Linked DNA regions of Caenorhabditis elegans. The protein of the gene in region 2 interacts with the protein of the main gene of each other region in a pairwise test. Each region holds a gene or a part of one and is shown on either strand. Other genes may lie near its edges. The genes, in order: gpb-1, egl-10 and gpb-2.

Region 1 (7,001 bases), on a different chromosome or scaffold from region 2:
TATATATTATCCAGACCCAAAGTTTTTCCAAACAATACGGCGCCGGGTCTCGACACGATAAATTTTTGTTGAATGAGCGAAGCTGTGCGCCTTTAAAGAGTACTGTAGTTTCAAACTTCCGTTGCTGCGGATTTTTCATCGAAAATTATTTTTTTGAAAATATTACTCTTTAAAGGCGCACATCGTTTTGCATTCATAAAAATTGTCGTGTCGAGACACCGGGTACCGTATTTTTAAACAATAAGCTCTCAATCGCTGCGAGACCCAAGATTTTTAATGTTTTGTAAAAATTCCATAATTTAATTTCCAGCTCTCCAAGAAGAAGACCCACTTCACTGTGAAGGGTCAAATCGGTGGATACGTGACACAGTACAAGGGATCCCAGGTGACATTCGCCACTGTTCGCGGAGCCGGACACATGGTACCAACCGACAAGCCAGCCGTCGCCGAGCACATCATCCAATCGTTCCTGTTCAACAAGGCCTTCTAATCGTTAGGAGAACAATGATAATAATTTTGAAATAAATGTCTGAAAAACTGAGCTCACAAGAGGTTATAAGGTTCCAGCAATTTATAAGAATTTGGAAATTGAAACAATAAAAAAGAATAAAAAGGGAAATAAGATTTTTTGGGTGTTTTGGGGAAAAGAAGAGATGGGGGGATGGGGGATGTTCATTTTTCAAGAATTGTGATGGATTAAACAGATGTGGGGGGTTGAGGGGGAGAAGAGAGGAAAAGAAGTGGCAGCTATCCGAATAAATGAGAACTTTTTTATCTTTAATTTTGCGATCGGAAGAACTTACAAAATCACGGTGGTAGGAGAATTAAAAGAAATTAGAAAAAAAAACTTAGGGGGTTTTGTGTGTGTGAAAAAGTTGAAAACGGTCTGGAAAGGGATCGATGGGATACATAGAAGACAAAAAAAAGAGGTGAAGATTTGTGGGGGGAGTCAATTAAATTAGTGTAGAAGACGAGAAATGAGAGAAGATGATACCAGAAATAGAGAAAAAAAGAAGCTTAAATAATTATATATCGGGAGGAAATAATAATTAGAATGGATCTCATATTGTGCTTTTCTTGATGTGGGGGTTTTAGGATTAGTGATGCGCGTGGCGTTCGCTTTTCGATTTCAAAATTGTACTCCGCGCGCGTGGCTCCATCACTGTATATCTTGCTCGCCGAGCACAAATTTGTCTTACATATATATAAAATTTTTTGTCGTAGCATGAATATCATGTTAGTAGAATACGATCGGGGAGAGAAAGAGAGCGCGCGCATGTGTATGTGTCTGTGACTAAAGTGAGTGGTGAAAGAGGAAGAAAGATTAAGCTTCGCGGGGGGCGGGGAGACACAGAAAATGTGAAATAAAAATAAATGAGAGAGAGAGAGTTGAGAATTGCTATAATAATAATTTTCACATAGTAAAAAAAATTGATGAGAAAATTCGAACAAACGTCAAGGAAAGTAATATGGGGAGGGCGATTGAAGAGAGACTAGAAAGTACCGAACAAAAAGCGATGAGAAGAGGTGAGAGAAGAAAAAGAGATCCGGGCACGCGGAAGAGGGCGCCGGGATAGCGGATAGCGACGAAAGAATGAGAACAACAGGGGGGTTTCAAGAGCGGAAAAAAATTGGGGAAAATGGGGAAAAAAATTGCCACGTAGTGTCATCATCATTCAATCAATAATTGGAGAATAATTAAGGAAGACATTTGATGTTTCTTAATTCCAGATCTTGAGGAACGAGTCCCATGATCCTGTGCACACGGCCATACCGTCCTCGGTGACTCCTAGACAAGAAACTCGGTTATCGTGACCAGCCAATACTCCTGAAATTGGAAGAACAATTAGTTTTTCATCACTTTCAACTTGGAAAATTTCAAAAAAAGGAGCTAAAGGCACTCACCAGCTCTCTCCTGTCGCATCGAATCCCAAACATTGCAGTTGAAGTCGTCGTATCCGGCGAACAACAGGCGACCCGATTTTGAGAATGCGACACTAGTGATTCCGCAAATAATATTATCATGAGAATACATGGCAAGTTCCTGATCAGCACGAATGTCGAACAATCGGCATGTCGCATCGTCGGATCCGGTGGCGAACGCGTTTCCGGATGGGAAGAACTGCAAAAAATTGATTTTTTTTTGAAAAATCTTCAAAATAATAAAACTTACGGCAACAGCGTTGATGTCTGACTCGTGTCCTGGGAACGTTTGCTTGCACATGCCGTCTCGGATATCCCACAACTGAAATTTAAAAAATTTAAAAAAAAATCAACTTTTCAAAAATCCTATACCTTCGCCGAAGCGTCACAGGCTCCTGAGATGAATGTGCGGAAGTCTGGAGAAAGTGAAAGCGACATGACGTCACCAGTGTGACCGGTGAACGCGGTGCACTGTTGTCCGGTTTCAATGTCCCATAGAGCGCTGGAAAAAAAATTGGAGAATTAGGATAATTTACGAAAAAGTGATATTATATGATATGGTAGAGGTTAAAGGCACATGCCGGTTTGAAAAGTGGGTCTCGCCACGATCATAGTGGCCGCTACAGGCGCCAAATTTCTCAGATTTGTTAATTTGGTGTAGAAAATGAAATTTTAAACTCTAAAATGCAATTTGCACTTTAGAATTTGAAACTTTACAAACTTCTTTTTTTTTCGTGGCGAGACCCAATCGGAAAATAGCGTGTGGCTTTAAAAAATCTGAAATTTTGCAGAATCACGAGATAAATTTTGGAAGTTATCTGAAATCTTTCTTACATTTTCAAACTGGAATTTTTTTAAACTTTTCAAAGTACAAACTACACGTCTAGAGATCACAATTTAACAATAGACTTGTAAAATTTTGAAGTCCGAAAATTTACATTTTTCGCGGGCCGACTTTTGTGCTCTTTCTGTCTTTTATTCACACGTTCTTTGCTTCTCTCCACCTCAATTTCATCAAGCGGCACAAAAAGAGCCCAGTTTGAAAACAAACTCATCAACATTCAACATCCGAATTTCTCCTTCGCACTTCTTCTACTTTTGTGTGCTCTGGCTATACACTGATGCTCAAATTACGCGGAAAAAAAAAAATGAAAAGTAGAAACTAGTTGATAATTTATGATTTTTTATAGGATTTTTCTTTAATTAAAAAAAATGAAATTTTTCAAAAAAAAAACCCACCAAGTCATATCTCCGGAAGAGGTGACAATTTGGTTGTCATCAAGGAATCGACAACACGACAAGTATCCAGTATGTCCTGGAAGCTCACGAGACACCCGCACGTTTCCCTCGCGTGTTTTCAGCGAGTAAATTGAGCAAATGTTGTCGAGACCTGGAAAAATTGAGAATTGTTACTTTTTATTTTAAAAAATTTGAATTTTGCTCGTGTAGATTTACGAGATTCAAATTCTCAATAGAAACCCAGATTTCCCAGTAATCTCTCCGGAAAATTTGAATACAATGAGTAATCCTTCAGCTTACCTCCACAAGCGACAAACGATCCCGATGGAGCATAGGCACAAGTCATCACCCACGATGATCTCAAGGGAATTGCATGAACCTGGAAAAAAAATGCAAATTAATTTCTTTAAATTTTTTCTTTTTTTATCAAAAAAAAAACAATTGAAAATCGTCAAAAAAAACTCACTTTATTTGTGGTGTACGAGTCCCAAACGATGAGCTTTCCGTCTTGTGAAGCTGACACCAAATTGCGACTGTCTGATGCCCAGTGCATTGCATAAATCTGCAAAATTTATCGATTTTATGACTAGAAAAAGTCTGAAAGCCCTACCTTGGCTAAATGTCCCCTAAGCGTACGTCTCGTCCTCATCTGAATGCGGCCAATTGGCTCCAGATTTGAAGCGACGGTGGCCAGTGTTGTGTCATTTGCTGATTTCCGGGCTTCCTGCAAAAAATTAATTTATTTTGTTTTTTTTTTAATTATGAAAAACTTCAAATTATTGGTTTTTACAACTTTTTACTTCAAAATCTGTAAATTCGGGCCTTAAATTTTTATAAAAATTACTGTAATTTCCACTCTAGGAATTTTCATCGATTTTTCATAGTTTTCAACTAAAAAACATAAATTTTTATAAAATCGAGAGAAAAACTATTATCTAGACGGATATATATGAGGTTTTTTGCCACATGAGTCTCGCCACGAATTGTCGATTTACGGGCTGTTATTACATATTTTTGCATACATTAAACACATTAAATGGACAGTTTGAGATGATGCAATAGTGCCCCGTAAATCGACATGGGGGATCAGAACCTCTCATTTTTAGACGTCCACATAATATGGAAAATTGCTGAAAATTCCCGAATTTGAAATTACAGTAATCTTTTCACAAAAATTTGTCGCTTCGAGACCGGGGACTGTATTTTTGAAGCGAAAAATCTTCCACTTCCATAAATGTTTTGTGCATTTAATTAACACCAATTCAGTGTATTTTCTATCTCTGCTGCCCCTCCTCGCTCCAGGCCAGCTCACCCCGTTTTCAGCACCACGAGAGCTTCACCAAACCCCGCGCAACATTTTGTGCTCGCGCACACGCACAACCATGTGTGTGTGTGTGAGTGCTCGTCGGAGCAGGAGCTACCACCAATTCTAGTGAGCGACGCGATGACAACGACAACGACGACGACGACGGCAGCAGAGTCCTCAAGGGAGAATGGCGCACTACGACACGAGTGGAGCTTGCGCAGAAGAGAGACTGCGAGAGATCTCTCTCTCTCTCTCTCGTGCTCTTGGCCAGCAGTAGCGGCAGAAATTGAGAGCATTCGGCGGCGGGGCCCCGGGAAAATAGTGGAACAAGAGCCGGAGACGCCGACAATCTCACATTAGGCAGCCAATCTATTCTCCTCGCTCGCTCGCTGCTTCTGCTGCTGCTCCAGCTTCTCCTCGTCTCAGTGCCCCCACCAGGGGCGACCCCATCTCGGCCAATGGCTCGCCGCGGCCTGCGTGTGTGGAGCAACAACTTCTGCTACTGATCGATATTTTGCAGCGGCGATGGCGGGTAGAAGAAGAAGAAAAGAAGACGACGACGGCTGGGGGACGACGACCATCGTGTTATACACATCCAGTGCAGCAGCACGTCCCCTCAAGTACGGCGCAAAAACAACGCCGATGGCGGCGGCGGCGGCATCGTTGGAAGGGGAGCGCTTTACTTATTACCAACAATTTGTATATGTATGTGTGTATATGTGTGTGTATAAATATATAAATGCGTGTATTTCTCATATTTCGCATATTCAAACAATTGCTAGACCATGCTCTGGAACGAGAGATTACTGCAATTATTAGTTTAAAAAATATTTTAAAAAATAAAAAAAAACACAGATTTACTCACCCGAATCTGCGACTTCAGCTGTTCAGCCTCCTGTCGAAGTTGGTCAAGTTCGCTCATCTTGCTGCTGGTGGTGGTGCGTGCTCCGGAGGATGGTACTGATGGAAGTGTCGACGGATGCGGCTGCGGCTAATGCTGCTCCTGGTCGGTGTTCGCGTTTTCGACGGCGGCGCTGCTCTATTCGTCGTCTTCGTGGCCTTTGTTCTTGCACTCGACAACTGGGCCTGCAAAAAAAAGCGTGAATTAAGAATTATTGGATAGAAAAAAAGAGTTTGAAGGAAATAGCAGAAAAAATCGATTTTTTCCAAGAATTTGATTATTTTCATGAAGGAATTAAATTTATCGTTAAAATAATTCAAGTTTTCGAAGCTTTTAGAGATTTTCTGTGGAGAAAATAAGAAAAAATAAGATAAAAAGGTCAAAAAAGGAAAGAAAATCAAAGAAAAACAACAGTGTGCATATTGACGTCACGGTGTTTGCAGAAACTACGGTAGGCCAGCACATGCTAATTGCCGCGCAATGTTTTTTGTTTTTATTTAATTAATTAATTAATAAGTTTTAAATTGAATATTCAATGCGAAAACCAATCAAAAAATGAAGAAAATTATTGATTGTTTCATTGTAATCAAGTAATTTATGTAAAAATCAAAAATTTGAAAAAAATGGATTTTTTTCAATTTAAAAATAAGTGATTCCAGAATTCTATATTTGAAAAAACAACACATTTTGGTCTTACTTATCTAATAAAATAGTTCGATTCTAAAATCGATAACTAGACGGGAAAATATTTAATTCTTTAGAGAGGAACTTTGGAAGTAGATTATTAGCTCTAGGGATCCCTATAGGTGAGATAATAAAATAAGAATAAACTAAAGGTATGTTTTTGATCAAAACATGAAAAACCTACTAGAAAGAAATCTATATCACTAACCCTTTTAATTAAAACCCCTCGACCGACGTCAACTTGGCAAAGACGGTGAGACCAAGCTGCTGATCAGGAAGTACAGAATGACGGTCTGCAAACCAAAATCATAAGCTTCAGAAATTTTAAGCAAAATTTTTAACTTTCAAAAAATCAATAGATCGATTCAGAAACTGGCGTGAGAGCGGAACACTGTACGAGAAAGAAACCAAACCTTGAGACGCAGACCAAGCGGGATGGAAAAGGGGAGCGGGCGGGAAAAAATGTAAAAGTGTTGGTCTGTGTGTGTGTGTGTGGCGCGGAAGAACAAAACAATGACAAAAAAGAAAGAAAAGAAACTGAATACCACAAATGTCGAATGAAATGAGGGAATTAAGGAAGGAAATGATGGGGCACAGGTATTTGAGTTTTGAGGGAACATATTGCTCTCCGTGTTCAAATACCTTGGGCTCTCCCAGGTAGGAGCGCAAAACGTGACAAAAGCTAATATATATCTGTGCGAAGAAGGCGCGGCTCACTCTTTCTCTCTCCTACCATTGGATCTGCGAATTATTGATTCAACTTTTGTTTGCTAAATGCAGAATTCTAATTGCTTTGGGCGAGGGGACATCTGGTGCCCTCCAGCAGGTGGTGCGAGCATTTTTAACCAATAAAATTGTACAAAGTTCTCAGACAAAAATAGGCCAATTTTGACCGAGCCAGACTGCCATCGAAGATTAATGGCTTTGATGTGACGTGGCAGGACGCAA
Region 2 (8,053 bases):
ATTATGGTATATTTTGAAAACTGTGAGTTTTAAATATTGTAGTTTTCTAGAATAGAAACGCCATCGAATATATAATATGTTGCTTCCGTAGTCTCGACAGTATTTTTTCTAATAGTACTACACACAATTTCTCAAGTTTGGCAGCTTATATCTCAGCTGTTGTTTGTTTTATTAAAAAATTGTTAACTGAAAAATATGTTTTATTTCATTTTCAATTGTTTTTGTATTTGCATTTTTATTAAATGAGCCACAATTAAAACTTTCAGAGTGATGTAGTGGGGTGCAATATTAATAGAAGAGATACAGTATCTATTTTTCATCAAACCTGAAAAACGCAGTTTTCTATTTCCTTAATCAACATTAAAACTAGAGTAAGATAAAGCATGAAAATTTTTTAAAAGAACTAGGTATACCATGAGATATTCCCCGATCCGTTTTTTTTGACTTCACCAACGAAAATGAGTTGTAATTGTAAAATCTTGTAATATAAACGTACTTTTCATACATCATCAAACTAAATATTCCATGTCATAGATTTGTTTATAAACCTAGTTCGTCATCTAGCAAATCCAGGAATAAATCCACAAATAAATCAAAGAACGAAAGCTTCTTTTTAATCTCATTATCTTTTTTCTTTACATTTCTATTCTTTTCTGTCTAGAAATACGAATCCACTTTAATTAAACTTTTACCAACGACTACGGTATCGCTATTTTATCACTTTTTGTTCGAATCAAATAAATAGTTTGCCATGTCACAAGCCTCTCATTTCAAGTTTTCATGCACATTTCTCGGTATGCTTCTTTGGTTTTGAAAATCATCTTTCTTTAAAATATAAAAATCCTTATAATTTTGAACACTTAAATCAGTTTGTGCACCAAAAATTAAAGTTCAGTGAAGTCTAGGAAATTTCTTTTTTTCTGATCGGTTTTTTTCGTTGAAACTCCCTCCTTTGTCTTTATGATATAGTTATAGAATTTCAGATGAGTTCTTTTCAATATTTTCTAGTTTTCCTTTTGATCTTACAATGCACTGGAATTATATTTTATATTATGAAACAGATCTTTAAAAAATACTTCTTAGTGAGAAAAATACAATTTTCTCGATGTTCTAAACATTTGAGGTTTGAAGAACTTAGAAGTTAGACTTTAAAAAATATATTTTACGATTTTAACTGCATACATTTCTTGATTATTCGTTTCCTAACAAAGATATTCACATAATGCAATGCGAATTATCAGTATGCAGTCCTGTAATTAGTGGAAATTCATCCGCTTATCATCTTTCTTATACCATTCATCAGCTTATTTCCAGCTCTTTTTCAATTCATTTTACCCTTTTCTCTTTCTCTCTTTTTCAATGTGTATATGTATTCGATTCGTGTCTCGAATTTCATCCTCTTTCTACTTCTTCTCTTTTTCTTTCTTTCTTTTTGTCTCTCTCTCTCTCTCTCTCTCTCTCTCTCTCTCTCTCTCTCTCTCTCTCTCTCTCTCTCTCTCTCTCTCTCTCTCTCTCTCTCTCTCTCTCTCTCTCTCTCTCTCTCTCTCTCTCTCTCTCTCTCTCTCTCTCTCTCTCTCTCTCTCTCTCTCTCTCTCTCTCTCTCTCTCTCTCTCTCTCTCTCTCTCTCTATTTTTTCATTGGCACACTCGCACTCTCTCGACTCTCACTCACACGCTCACTCACCATCACGCTCACTCTGGGCCCTATACGTGATGTGCGCGTCTCCTTTTCCTTGTCGTTTTCTTTTCCTTATTCTTTTTCTTATACTGCCTTCTCATCTTAATATTTTCATGCTCTTTTTGCTCTTTTGTACGACATACAATTCATATATGCTCAACTCATCTTTGCAGACTTTTGTGGCTCAACACCTCGTTTCTTTTGCACCCGAACCGCACCCACGGTAACACGGATTCTGCGAGGAATGAAGGAGTAGAAGATAACGGGACATTCCCTTGTGTCAAAGTGAGAGCCAACGACGACGATCCTAAGAAGTATAAACTTGGAAGAGTATTCACAAAAGTCTTGAAGACTAAAGCTTCACAATGGCTCTACCAAGATTGAGGTTAGATTCACTTCATCTTCAAAAAAAACAGCAAAATATATTATGTTTTTAATTCTATATATTTCAAACAAAAAACGTTTAAAGATTAGTACCCAAACAAATTATTTATTCTAAAAATACAAAGAGGTTTTTTTTTTTTGAAAAGTTGTAATAAAAAAGTTTTTGTACTTTCAAAATTTCCTGTAAACTAATGAGTGAAATGATCTCGAGCAATAGTTTTTTTAAAGTTTATTTGACTGGAACGGTTTTGGGTCTTGTGAACAAGCAACTCATTACTTCATATTCATACATCTCCATTCAAATTTAATACTATTCAGTGTTAAAAAATTAATCTCGATTATCACCATGTTCAACTATCGATAGGCATTTCAATGAGATGTGAAAAGTTCTATAGAACAATGTAGAGTCTCATGATTTTTTTAATATGCAAAATAAAAACATTTGGAAAAATTGAAACTTCCGGGTTACTATATGCAAACTGTTATCATTGTAGTAATACTGCTGCGTGCTTTGAATAGTAAGTTTTTTTGCTAATTTTTGAAAAATATATTATTTTAGAAAACTTTTCAAACACTTTTAAATTTTTTTATTTACTGTTAAAAAGTAGCGATCACTCAGTTTTTTTCTTTAAATTGTTTTAATGCTCTAATTAGGCTTCAAATTCAAATTTTCACACTGTAGGGGCTGGAATATGCGACGTTGCTTTTTTCAAAAAGTCTGAAATATTTAATAAATTTGACAATCCACCTAAATTGACTTAAATTATTTGATTGATGGAAAAGTATTTATTCTTAAATTTTTTAACAGCAAAAAATAAATTTTCCTGCGGCCATTAATTTGTTGGCAGTCACATCCAGCTTTCCAAAAAAAACAACGAGGAAAATAATGAAAATCTGCACTAAAAAGTATGTTTAAAAATGTGGATTACGAACTTATCATTGAAATTTCTCGAGCTATGCATATATTTTGGCTGCCTTGATTAAAAGTACTGTAGGTCCCCTATTTACTTTTGAAGCTTATTGGTTCTAGTTGAGGTAATTTTGTCATTAAAAAACTATTGCGTAGTTCATTTCCATTCATTCGTGAATATTCTTTATTTATCTATTCGTTTTCTATGTATATGAAAATCACCGAAAATTTAGGCAATTCGTTCTTTTTTTTTTGTTTCTTTCAATGTTGCAATGTCAGTTGCTAGGTCGTCGAGAGCATTTTTTGTGCGGATGCTACTCAGCCAATTTGTCGTTCATCCGTCGCCCGGCACTAGTACTAAACACAAATTCTCATTTACATACAAACGTTTGGAGAATACGATTTAGTGGAGAAAAGCTCGTAGTCTTAGCCTTTTTCTACGCCCAAGAAAATTTTTGTAGGCTACTGCCCAATGCTTTAATCTTGCTTTCTTTTTGTGGTTTACGAAATACAAAATTCTGTAAATCCTGTAAAGGGCGGGTGAGAAGAGGCCAAGACATTGTGTCTTCTGATTTATTTTCATTCATTTTCTAAGCTTTGTCGTAGTGTGTTCAAGAAAAGATGCTACTTTCCAACTGGTAAGTCAGTGATTTTTCTTAAATATTCACATGGACATAGTGTTGCGTCAGAACCAATTTGTGATGATTGACAGAACCAAGAGCTACAACTTCCGTGAAAAATAGAAAAAAAACATGAAAACTCTGAAAATGTAGAGCGTTTTTCCATCTTGCCAAAAGTCCCAGAAGTCCTACTAAAAATCACGTGAAGTGGAGATGGGGTGCCTTCATGGGTTCAAACAAAAAAGAACAGAGAAAACGAGAAGGGCTGTAATATTTTATGTTCCTCATCCTTCTCTTTCTTCGTTTTTTCTTCTGTTTTCTTGTTGTTGTTGTCATCCGTGTGTATATTCTTTCCGCCAAGCTTGCCCGCAGCTTTTTAGAGGTTTTTTTTCGGGAAAGCTTTTTCTCTCTGTTCTTTGTGTTTTTTCCTTTCACTACATAACCAATGCAGATGTTTTGATGTTCTTCGAGAAGGAAAACTTCAGATAGGAATAGGGATAGGGAAAAAGATATGCATTGCGAAATGTAAGTGCGCCATAGAAAATAGTTAGATATTTTTGATGGTTGGTTGGAAAGAATTCAATTTGATAACATTGATCCTTATTTTTCATTTATCATGTTCCACCTTTTAAAAATTGTTACTTATAGCTTCACACTTACTAAAACTACAGCTTAAAAGCTTCAATCAAATCCATGTTGATTATTTACCAGTCAAACTGATTTTTTTTTCATTTTTTAAATAAGCTGCCAAAATGGAGCATTTGGAAACAACTATACATATATGAAATTTAAAATGTGCATATGACTATATTCCTGGACGATATCAATTTTTTTTCATGAAATCATCTGAAAACAGCTGTCAAATTCAAATTTAGTGAAGTGGATTTTTTTGAAAAAAATATATGAAAAATATTTGCAAATGTTATGACGTTTTGAGTAGTGACATCACTTCCCAAGTGCATCTCAAAAGTAATTGATGCATATAAAACACGAAACATTGTATTATTACTGAAACTTGAGATGTATCATAACTAGGGAAAACCTTACATTGATTCCAAATAATACGTGACGGGTTTACAGGGTAAATGCAAGCAACGAGGAGCGTCTTGTACATCCAAACCACATGGTGTACCGTAAGATGGAGATGCTTGTCAATCAAATGCTTGATGCAGAAGCTGGTGTTCCAATCAAGACTGTCAAGAGTTTTCTGTCAAAAGTTCCATCTGTATTCACCGGACAAGATCTGATTGGATGGATCATGAAAAATCTTGAGATGACTGATCTTTGTAAGTTGCCGCAAATATTTTGTATCGAGAATCAGAAAAATCAATTTCAGCGGATGCCCTTCATCTGGCTCATCTGATCGCGTCACACGGTTATCTTTTCCAAATTGACGATCATGTGTTAACGGTTAAAAACGATGGAACATTCTATCGGTTTCAAACTCCATACTTTTGGCCGTCAAATTGTTGGGATCCGGAAAATACTGATTACGGTGATTCTTGATTTTTTGAAGCTGAAATTAGTATCATGTTTTGTTCATGAAAAGTATTTGCTATTATTTTCAGGATCTTTGTGAGATGTTGGGCAGTTTTAGACAATTCTCATGTGATTGAAAACTCAGAGTTTGAAAACTAGTTTAATAGAATCCATTTAGCTACAATTTTAAAGTTTTTCAATAACATAAAATCAAACCATGCTGAAAACTGCTGAGAAAGCTGAGAAAGCAAAATTTTGCAAAAGCAAATATTTTCAGCGGTGTACCTGTGCAAGCGGACAATGCAGAACAAAGCGCATTTGGAACTGGAGGACTTTGAAGCGGAGAACCTGGCAAAGCTGCAGAAGATGTTCTCGCGCAAGTGGGAATTTGTGTTCATGCAAGCCGAAGCTCAATACAAGTTTGTGATATTCTCTTCTCTCTTTGCTGCATTCCGCGTGTATATATTTTTTCTCGTTCGTCGTCTTTTCGGGCGCTCGTGCTAGTTTGCAGTGCATAGCTTCTCAGTTTCCACCAACTCATCCACTTACATTGTGTGAATGCGTGAATGACGTCAAGAACGGGGAAAAGGGAAAGAAAACGAGCAAGGCAGTGGGCTCGTATCAATTTTTGACAAAAAAGGGTTTGAGAGAAGAAAAGTTCATTTTCCAAAAACAATGAAATATAAATTAGTGGGATTTAATCCTCTAAAAAATTGTATGTTTTCTTTTTCAATATGTGAATCGGAACCAGCAGAAAGTCCGGTAAAGATGTCAAAATTCATGTTTTATCAAATTTACTCGTTTTTTGAACATTCAAGTCACAACTGATAGTGATTGGGGATATCAACCAAACCTCAATCAACAACCTATTTCCATAACCTTTCTGAACACATCATTTCGGGGAAAAAACTAAAATTTTATGTGGGTGTAGTTTCTGATGACGTTATCTCTTTCTTCCGCTATTACCGATTTTCACCCAAATAAAGGGCCTGCTGTTTTATTTTTCATCTTTCGAGTTTTTTTCGAGAAGAAGAGCAAAGCACTTTTGTTGAGAATCGGTCGGACGGTGGTGAGAAGAGAAGAAGATGGATGTGAATGTGATGGAATGGAGGCGCCGAGCCAATCCAAGTAAATTGGAAAAATCGACGGCGCCGGGAGTCGGAAATAATGATGATGAAGACGTAAAAGAAGGGGTGTAGATAGATCGAGAGTAAGGAAGAATAAGAAAAAAACAGAAGAAGAAGAAGGCGTGCTTTCCCCTTTGGATTAGATGCAAAAAATCGGCGGGAGCTCATTCCATTCCTCCGTACTTTTACTACAACTTCCTCCACATTCCTAAAATTCTTCTAATCTTCTGACCATCAGTATTGTGTTTTGCTCCTGCCCAAAGATGGGTGGTTTTCGAAGACTTCGTCATTTATTTTTTAAAAAGACTCCAGATGAAAAAGAAAATAAAAGATCGTCAACTGACGAACAAAAGTGGGTTCACAATAATCATATTTTGAATTGAAGGAAACAAATCTCAAACATTATACTTATTTTAATTGAAAAAAAAAGAACCACTGTCTTGCAAAACTTCTTTCTTTATCTATTCTTGATCTTGCAAGTTCTAGCCCATACTAATTAGTGAGCGTTGCGCGTGTTTTATCAGGCATTCTACGCAACAATAAATCCAGGACACTCAGGGTCGACAAGAAGCGAGATCGCCAGGAGCGCCAAATTCTTGACAGTCAGGAACGTGCTTTCTGGGATGTTCATCGTCCAGTGCCAGGATGTGTAAACACTACAGAAGTCGACTTCCGGAAGCTTTCACGGTCTGGAAGGCCCAAGTACAGTAGTGGAGGACACGCAGCATTGGCCGCTTCAACGTCGGGTATCGGTTGCACTCAGTATTCACAAAGTGTGGCAGCAGCTCATGCGAGTCTTCCATCAACATCAAATGGGAGTGCAACATCTCCAAGAAAGAACGATCAGGAGCCATCAACATCAAGTGGGGGTGAATCTCCATCAACATCGTCTGCTGCTGCTGGAACTGCCACAACATCTGCACCATCAACATCAACGCCTCCGGTGACAACTATTACTGCGTAAGTTAAAATTTTCAATTTTCAGATATAAATTCTTTATTTGAAAATTTTCAGAACGATAAATGCAGGATCATTCCGAAATAACTATTACACAAGACCTGGATTACGGCGGTGTACACAAGTACAGGATACGTTAAAACTGGAAATTGTGCAATTGAATAGTCGATTATCAAAAAATGTATTACGTACATCTAAAGTTGTAGAAAAGTAAGCTTTAATAGATTATTTTTAAAAGATCAATATTGTTTTCAGTTATTTGGCATATTACGAACAACGTCGAGTATTTGATCCACTGTTAACGCCTCCTGGATCTCAGGCTGATCCTTTTCAATCACAGCCTAATCCATGGATTAACGATACTGTTGATTTTTGGCAACATGATAAAATGTGAGTTTCTAGAGTTTTTTTGCCGAATGTCACGTTTCAACTAAAAATTTTCAGTACGGGAGACATCCAAACCCGCCGACTCAAGCTTTGGGAGGATAGTTTTGAAGAATTACTTGCTGATTCATTAGGTCGAGAAACTCTTCAAAAATTCCTTGACAAAGAATATTCTGGAGAAAACTTGCGGTTTTGGTGGGAGGTACAAAAGCTGCGAAAGTGCAGTTCAAGAATGGTTCCAGTTATGGTAACAGAGATTTACAACGAGTTTATCGATACAAATGCGGCAACGTCGCCGGTCAATGTGGATTGTAAAGTGATGGAAGTGACCGAAGACAATTTAAAGAATCCAAATCGGTGGAGTTTTGATGAAGCAGCGGTGAGTATTACATTATAGTGAGCAGTTCGGGGATGGGAAAATATCATTTTCGGCAAATCTACAATTGAACTTTTTTGACATGGCGTTCCAATATTTTTCATTGAAATGTGGAGCAAGAGTATAGAAAAATATATTC
Region 3 (5,264 bases), on a different chromosome or scaffold from region 2:
CCTCTTCGCTATGGCACTTCTTGCCTGTGCCCCATCAGTCAGTGCCGAAGGAGATGATCTTCTCGACTACGTCAAATCGATTGAGCCACTCACGATCAGAAGGAGTCCATTGGCATGCCCACTTCCAGTTGTCGGACAAGCTTGCCCAGAAGAGAACGTTTTCTGGTACTTCAAGTGCTGCGGACAGATTGCTGATCAGTGTTGCTTCCGTCTTCAGGTAATAATTCATTTTTCAAAAGATCTGCTGAAATTTAAATATGTTAATTTCTAAATTTGTTTCTTTCAGGATTGGGTTACTGTTCTTCTTCTCTTCCTTGCCGTCTGCACGATTCTCTCGATCATCATCAACTGCGTCAGATGCTTCTGCTGCGCATAAGTATTTGACTTATAATTTTCACATTTCTTCATCAAATCTTCGGGGCAACAGTTTTATCAAAATTTCCACTTTTCTCTTTATAACCAATTCACTGAATTTCTTCCTTTTAATATTCTCTGATAATTTGCCATACGTTGCTCATTGAATACTCTACTTTCCACACTTCTTTCTTTTTTGTTATGTAATTTTCCTTTCCTCACAGTTCACCCTTGCCTTTTTGAATTGTATTTTAACAGGTGTATTTAGTGAATTCTATTTACATCATTCAGCAATGAACGAGTACTTTACAGTATTTGTGACTAGAAAGTTGAGATAGGAGAAAATAGTGGGATGGTTAGATAATAGTACAGGGATAGAGACTGGTGGGAAGGGGGATGAGTAAAGTGACATAAAGCTCAAAAATTGTAAGAGAAAAATTAATATTAAATAATCAAGCCCAAATGCGAATTGTGCAATCCCAGCTCGCCGAGCAGACGGCTGTTCCATCAGGAGAAGTTCGGAGGCAACTAATACGATTCTCATGTCCATAAAGTACTGAATGACGGGCGCATTTCAGCGAATCCCATACACCGACACGATAATCACCATAACCAGCAAATAGAATACGACCTGTAATTTTTTAATAGTTAGAGTGAAAAGTTTAGTTCTGTGAATTTCAGAGATGCATTGAATTGATTTGGACTATACGTTTTTGTGAAGATTTAAACGTACCGCTCAAACTGAAATCGACTCCATTTACGGGGAACAAGATTGATTCTTTTTCATACACACATACTTGACGATCTGCTCGAAGATCGAATAAGCGACACTGGAAAAAGTAATATTTTCAGACAAAACAAGCAACTCTCGCGACTTTCTCCCAAACTATAATTTTCGAAAAATGGAAGAATAACCGTGAAATTTAATTAAGATTCTCTTGCACGGCCATGTGTCGATTTACGCAGCTCGTGTACTCCCCGAGGAGAAGTGGGCATATTGTCACTTCTTCTCGAGGAGTACACTAGCTGCGTAATTCGACACATGGTCGTGCAAGGCTTCCATAATTTCCCATCCCTTCTCCAATTTTCAATAATGAAGAAGTTTAAACACTTGTGACTTACAGTAGCATCATCAGATCCAGTTGCAAATGCATCACCATTTGGATGAAATCGAACAGTATTAATATCAGCTTCATGTCCTTCAAATGATTGTACACATTGTCCTGAACGAATATCCCATACAAGAGAATGTTTGTCAGCTCCTGCGGAAATAAATGTATTTCCAGTATCACATTTTGGAACATCGATTGCAAATACATCACCAGTATGACCATGGAAATTCTGAATTTTTGAATTGGGTTTCCGATTCGCGAGAATAAAAAACCTGAATAAGTTGTCCACTTTCAACATCCCAAATAGCACATGTTGAATCTCCACTTCCAGTTAAAATAAGATTATCCGAACGAAGGAATGTACAACATGACATATAAGAAGTATGAGTTGCTACTTGTCTTTTCTTTTGAATTATATCATCTTCAAAAGAAAGTGGAACGACACTGCATTTATTATCAAGTCCTCTGTAAAATTGGAATTTTTGAAAATTCAAAAAATAATAATAAAAATTTTTAATTAATAACATGAAAGCTTCAAAATTGGTAAAGTATACATGAGCCAATTTTTGAAAATTCCGTCTGTAAGAGCTCTTTTATAATTTGAAAAAAAAAACAATAAATTCTCATGAACACTATAAGTCCGTGTACTACCGTTTGTATTTTTTGAAAGCTTTGAAGTATTTGAAAGAAATCTTACCCGCAAGCGATCATTTGACTCGATGGAGAGAATGCACATGCCATAACCCAAGTTGTTGGCATCGTAAGAGCATGTTCCTTATTCGTAGTAAATCCATCCCATACAATCACTTTCCCGTCCTAAAATTTACTAATTTGAGCAAATTCATTTTAGAAATCGAGGTTTCAATTTTTGAAGACTACTGAATCTTTTGTAAGTCATATTTTAAACCAACCTGAGATGAAGAGACGATATGTCTTTTATCCAATGACCAATCCATGCATAATACTTTTCCCACGTGTCCTTTTAAAATTCGACGCTGTTTTACACCAAGAGCTCCCATAACGTCAAGTCGTTCGGCTGCTTGTTGAACTGAAAATTACTTAGGATGTAAAAAACTACTTAGTGCGTTTTGGGATTACTGTAGTTCTTGGTAATAGTAAATTAGGCATAACCTCAAAAAAGTCAAAGAGAAAACATTTAGAATTATGCAAATATCACAAAGCATATCTGGTATCTTTTTGTTCATCAAATTATTTAACTCAAATTTCTTTAAAGTTTTCAAAAACTTTTTTCAACTTTTTTCAGTCAAACAAGTTCTCAAAAAGTCCAACTTCACCTAGATTTGACAATTTACCAAAACTTAGACGTAATTTTTGGTGTGTATTGATATTTGGGCAATTATAATATTCGGTTATGAAGAACCGCATTGATATTTTTATTCAATATCCTCACTGATTGTGAGCTTTTAATTCAAAAGTTTATTTTTTCAATAAAAAAACAAAGAAAAAAGACTCCGGAGGATTTCTAACCTAGGAATTGTAAAGTTCAATTTTTTAGTAGTGTTCTTCTTCAAAGTCCCTCTTTTTAAATTGAAGTATTCTAATAAATTATCTTTTTAATTTTTTTCAAATACTTACTAGGAATGTCATTAAGCTTGTGCCTCTCTTGATCCAATTTCTTTCTAAGCTCTTCGGCTTCATTTGCCAATTGTTCTAAATATTCCGATCTGAAATAATGTAGTGTAACCCTTTGTAATGTAAAATGTACAAATACCCTTTTTCGGTTGTTGTTGGCTGAGAGTTTTCTGGCATTTTCGACGAGGAAGACGATTCTCCAGCAATGGTGCTCATTCAAATTGCGTTTCTTTTTGAGATCAGAAGACGAATTATGCAAAAAAAGGAAGAGAAGACTGAGGGTTGAAGAAAATGAATTTGAATAGAACAATTAGAGATGGGCGGTTTGTTTGAGGTTTAGAGGCACATTTTTCCTGAAACATTGCTATTAAAAAAATAAGTTTGAAGTAGCCAAATTCTTAAAGGACATGCCTAGAAATGTAAGAAATATATAGGAAGATCAAGATCATTTACATGATTTTGGATTTTAATTTTTTATTTGAAACAACAAATTAGACAACAGTTTGGCACAATTGAAACGAGCACAATGTAAAAAGAATTTGATTTTAAACCAAAAACATGTTGATAAGGTAATTCAAAATATCGTACTACCATTACTATTAATTTATATTTGCCTAAGGTTTTGCAATGATCGGAGTTTCACACATTTTATAAGTAACGTTTATAAAAAATAAAAGTAAAAGCCTTTTTTGCAAAGTTATTCTGTTGAACATGCTCAAAAATAGGATGGATGTGGCTACATTATCATTAAATTATCATAAATTTGATGGTATTGATTAAGACAAAACTATATTCGCCACGACAAAAAGCCGTCGAGGGCCCGAAATCATGGTGCAATGAATTCTATTTGCGTGCCTTACTCCGCTATGTCTCGCTTCTCCCTCTTCACTATTTTCTCTATTTCTTTTCTCGTTTTGCCGAGCGGTCCTTTTTGCAATGGAAAGAGAATGCAATGCGGTCGCGTCGCGGTTTCTGGGAAAAAGATGAAAAGAGACGGAAGAGATGTGGAAAAGAGAGTGGCTCGAAGAACGGGATGAGTTAAAATTAGGCAATGCACATGTCTTGATGGTTTTTGTGAAGTGAAATTAATTATAAAAAAGTGCTAGGTTAGCTTAAAAGTTGAGTAAAACCAGTTTAAAAAGTCCCACAATCGTTTTAGGTTTTTTGAAAAAATAAGTTATGGAAAATTGTCAAATTTTTGCAACTTTATCCTTCGCAGGGAATAGCATTGTGGAATGCTCTAAAACCTACAATATTATAATAAAAAAAGGCATAAGAAAAATAGGAAACTCGTATAAAACATATTTTTCTGTCTACTTGCAGAGTTATGATGTGTGAAAATGAGAATTTACCACTTTTCGACAGCGCATAAACATATTCAACTTTTTTCTGAAAAGCTTTACTATGATATTGATAATTAACAATGTTATCACTATAGAAGTGGTTTAAATAAATTCCCCACTAAAACCAGAAATCTAGACTAGCTGTAGCTGTAAGACACTTCTTGTACACCGGTAGTTTCAGTGCCAATAATTTTAAGACTCAAAATATTTATTCAAGCGTAATATACAAGCAGAAAAAGTGAAAGACAGAAAAATTAATATCGAGAAACATTGTAGGCATCAGGTCGGTGAGCAGTTGCCGGAGCCGTCGACGAGGTATAATAACGATCTTCAGCAGAGAACATGACCTGATCACCAGGAACCATGACACGAGATATTTCAGAATCTCTTGGTGATGAGTCCACGTGGATTTGACGTGGAGCTTGACGAGTGTGTTGAATATAATTAGCATTACCAGGAATATTATCATAATTGACAGGAATTGGAACAGGAGCAGATTGGGCAATGATAGGAGATGAGACTAAACTGAAATATTGGCTATTTTTACTGAATTTTTTAGTTTGTATGTGAAGCAGTTAGAAATGTCTCAAATCTATGAAATTCAAGAAATTTGATTGAACTGAAATGCAATTTTGTCTAGAATATATCCACTGGAAAAATTAAAATTGACAAGTTGAAATACCTTGTTGAGTATTCTTTCTTTGATTTTTTCCTCTGAGCCCAAACCATCCAGCGAACCAAATTCCAGCAATACACACACATGGTAAGCAACAACAAAAGAGCAATAGGCATATTCCAACAATTATACCAATAATCCTTCCGGCATACCAAAAATCGTCACTGCAACAAGAACCCCTACAGT

Evidence for each region.
Region 1: the proteins of egl-10 (region 2) and gpb-1 interact in a two-hybrid assay, tested with the Caenorhabditis elegans proteins (one study listed by BioGRID).
Region 3: the proteins of egl-10 (region 2) and gpb-2 interact in a two-hybrid assay, tested with the Caenorhabditis elegans proteins (one study listed by BioGRID).

The regions. Positions count from the first base shown.
Region 1 is NC_003280.10:11,742,258-11,749,258, forward strand, and holds gpb-1 (Guanine nucleotide-binding protein subunit beta-1), read right to left. Parts: upstream 5,394-7,001; 5' UTR 5,391-5,393; coding exon 5,334-5,390; intron 4,804-5,333; exon of another isoform or gene 4,666-4,803; intron 3,887-4,665; coding exon 3,773-3,886; intron 3,725-3,772; coding exon 3,629-3,724; intron 3,542-3,628; coding exon 3,463-3,541; intron 3,314-3,462; coding exon 3,163-3,313; intron 2,426-3,162; coding exon 2,296-2,425; intron 2,246-2,295; coding exon 2,174-2,245; intron 2,123-2,173; coding exon 1,906-2,122; intron 1,829-1,905; coding exon 1,722-1,828; 3' UTR 554-1,721; downstream 1-553. Other genes in the region: Serine carboxypeptidase ctsa-1.2, read left to right, coding at 311-490.
Region 2 is NC_003283.11:12,456,806-12,464,858, reverse strand, and holds the start of egl-10 (Regulator of G-protein signaling egl-10), read left to right. Parts: upstream 1-2,042; coding exon 2,043-2,062; intron 2,063-4,671; coding exon 4,672-4,877; intron 4,878-4,927; coding exon 4,928-5,086; intron 5,087-5,347; coding exon 5,348-5,489; intron 5,490-5,523; exon of another isoform or gene 5,524-5,662; intron 5,663-6,755; coding exon 6,756-7,157; intron 7,158-7,211; coding exon 7,212-7,364; intron 7,365-7,409; coding exon 7,410-7,544; intron 7,545-7,598; coding exon 7,599-7,917; intron 7,918-8,053.
Region 3 is NC_003279.8:7,317,674-7,322,937, forward strand, and holds gpb-2 (Guanine nucleotide-binding protein subunit beta-2), read right to left. Parts: upstream 3,413-5,264; 5' UTR 3,276-3,412; coding exon 3,199-3,275; intron 3,152-3,198; coding exon 3,063-3,151; intron 2,515-3,062; coding exon 2,378-2,514; intron 2,283-2,377; coding exon 2,164-2,282; intron 1,932-2,163; coding exon 1,739-1,931; intron 1,696-1,738; coding exon 1,477-1,695; intron 1,185-1,476; coding exon 1,088-1,184; intron 986-1,087; coding exon 807-985; 3' UTR 617-806; downstream 1-616. Other genes in the region: F52A8.1 (DUF2650 domain-containing protein), read left to right, coding at 1-217, 287-376; F52A8.3 (uncharacterized protein), read right to left, coding at 4,657-4,922, 5,085-5,242. UniProt on the Caenorhabditis elegans protein: Guanine nucleotide-binding proteins (G proteins) are involved as a modulator or transducer in various transmembrane signaling systems.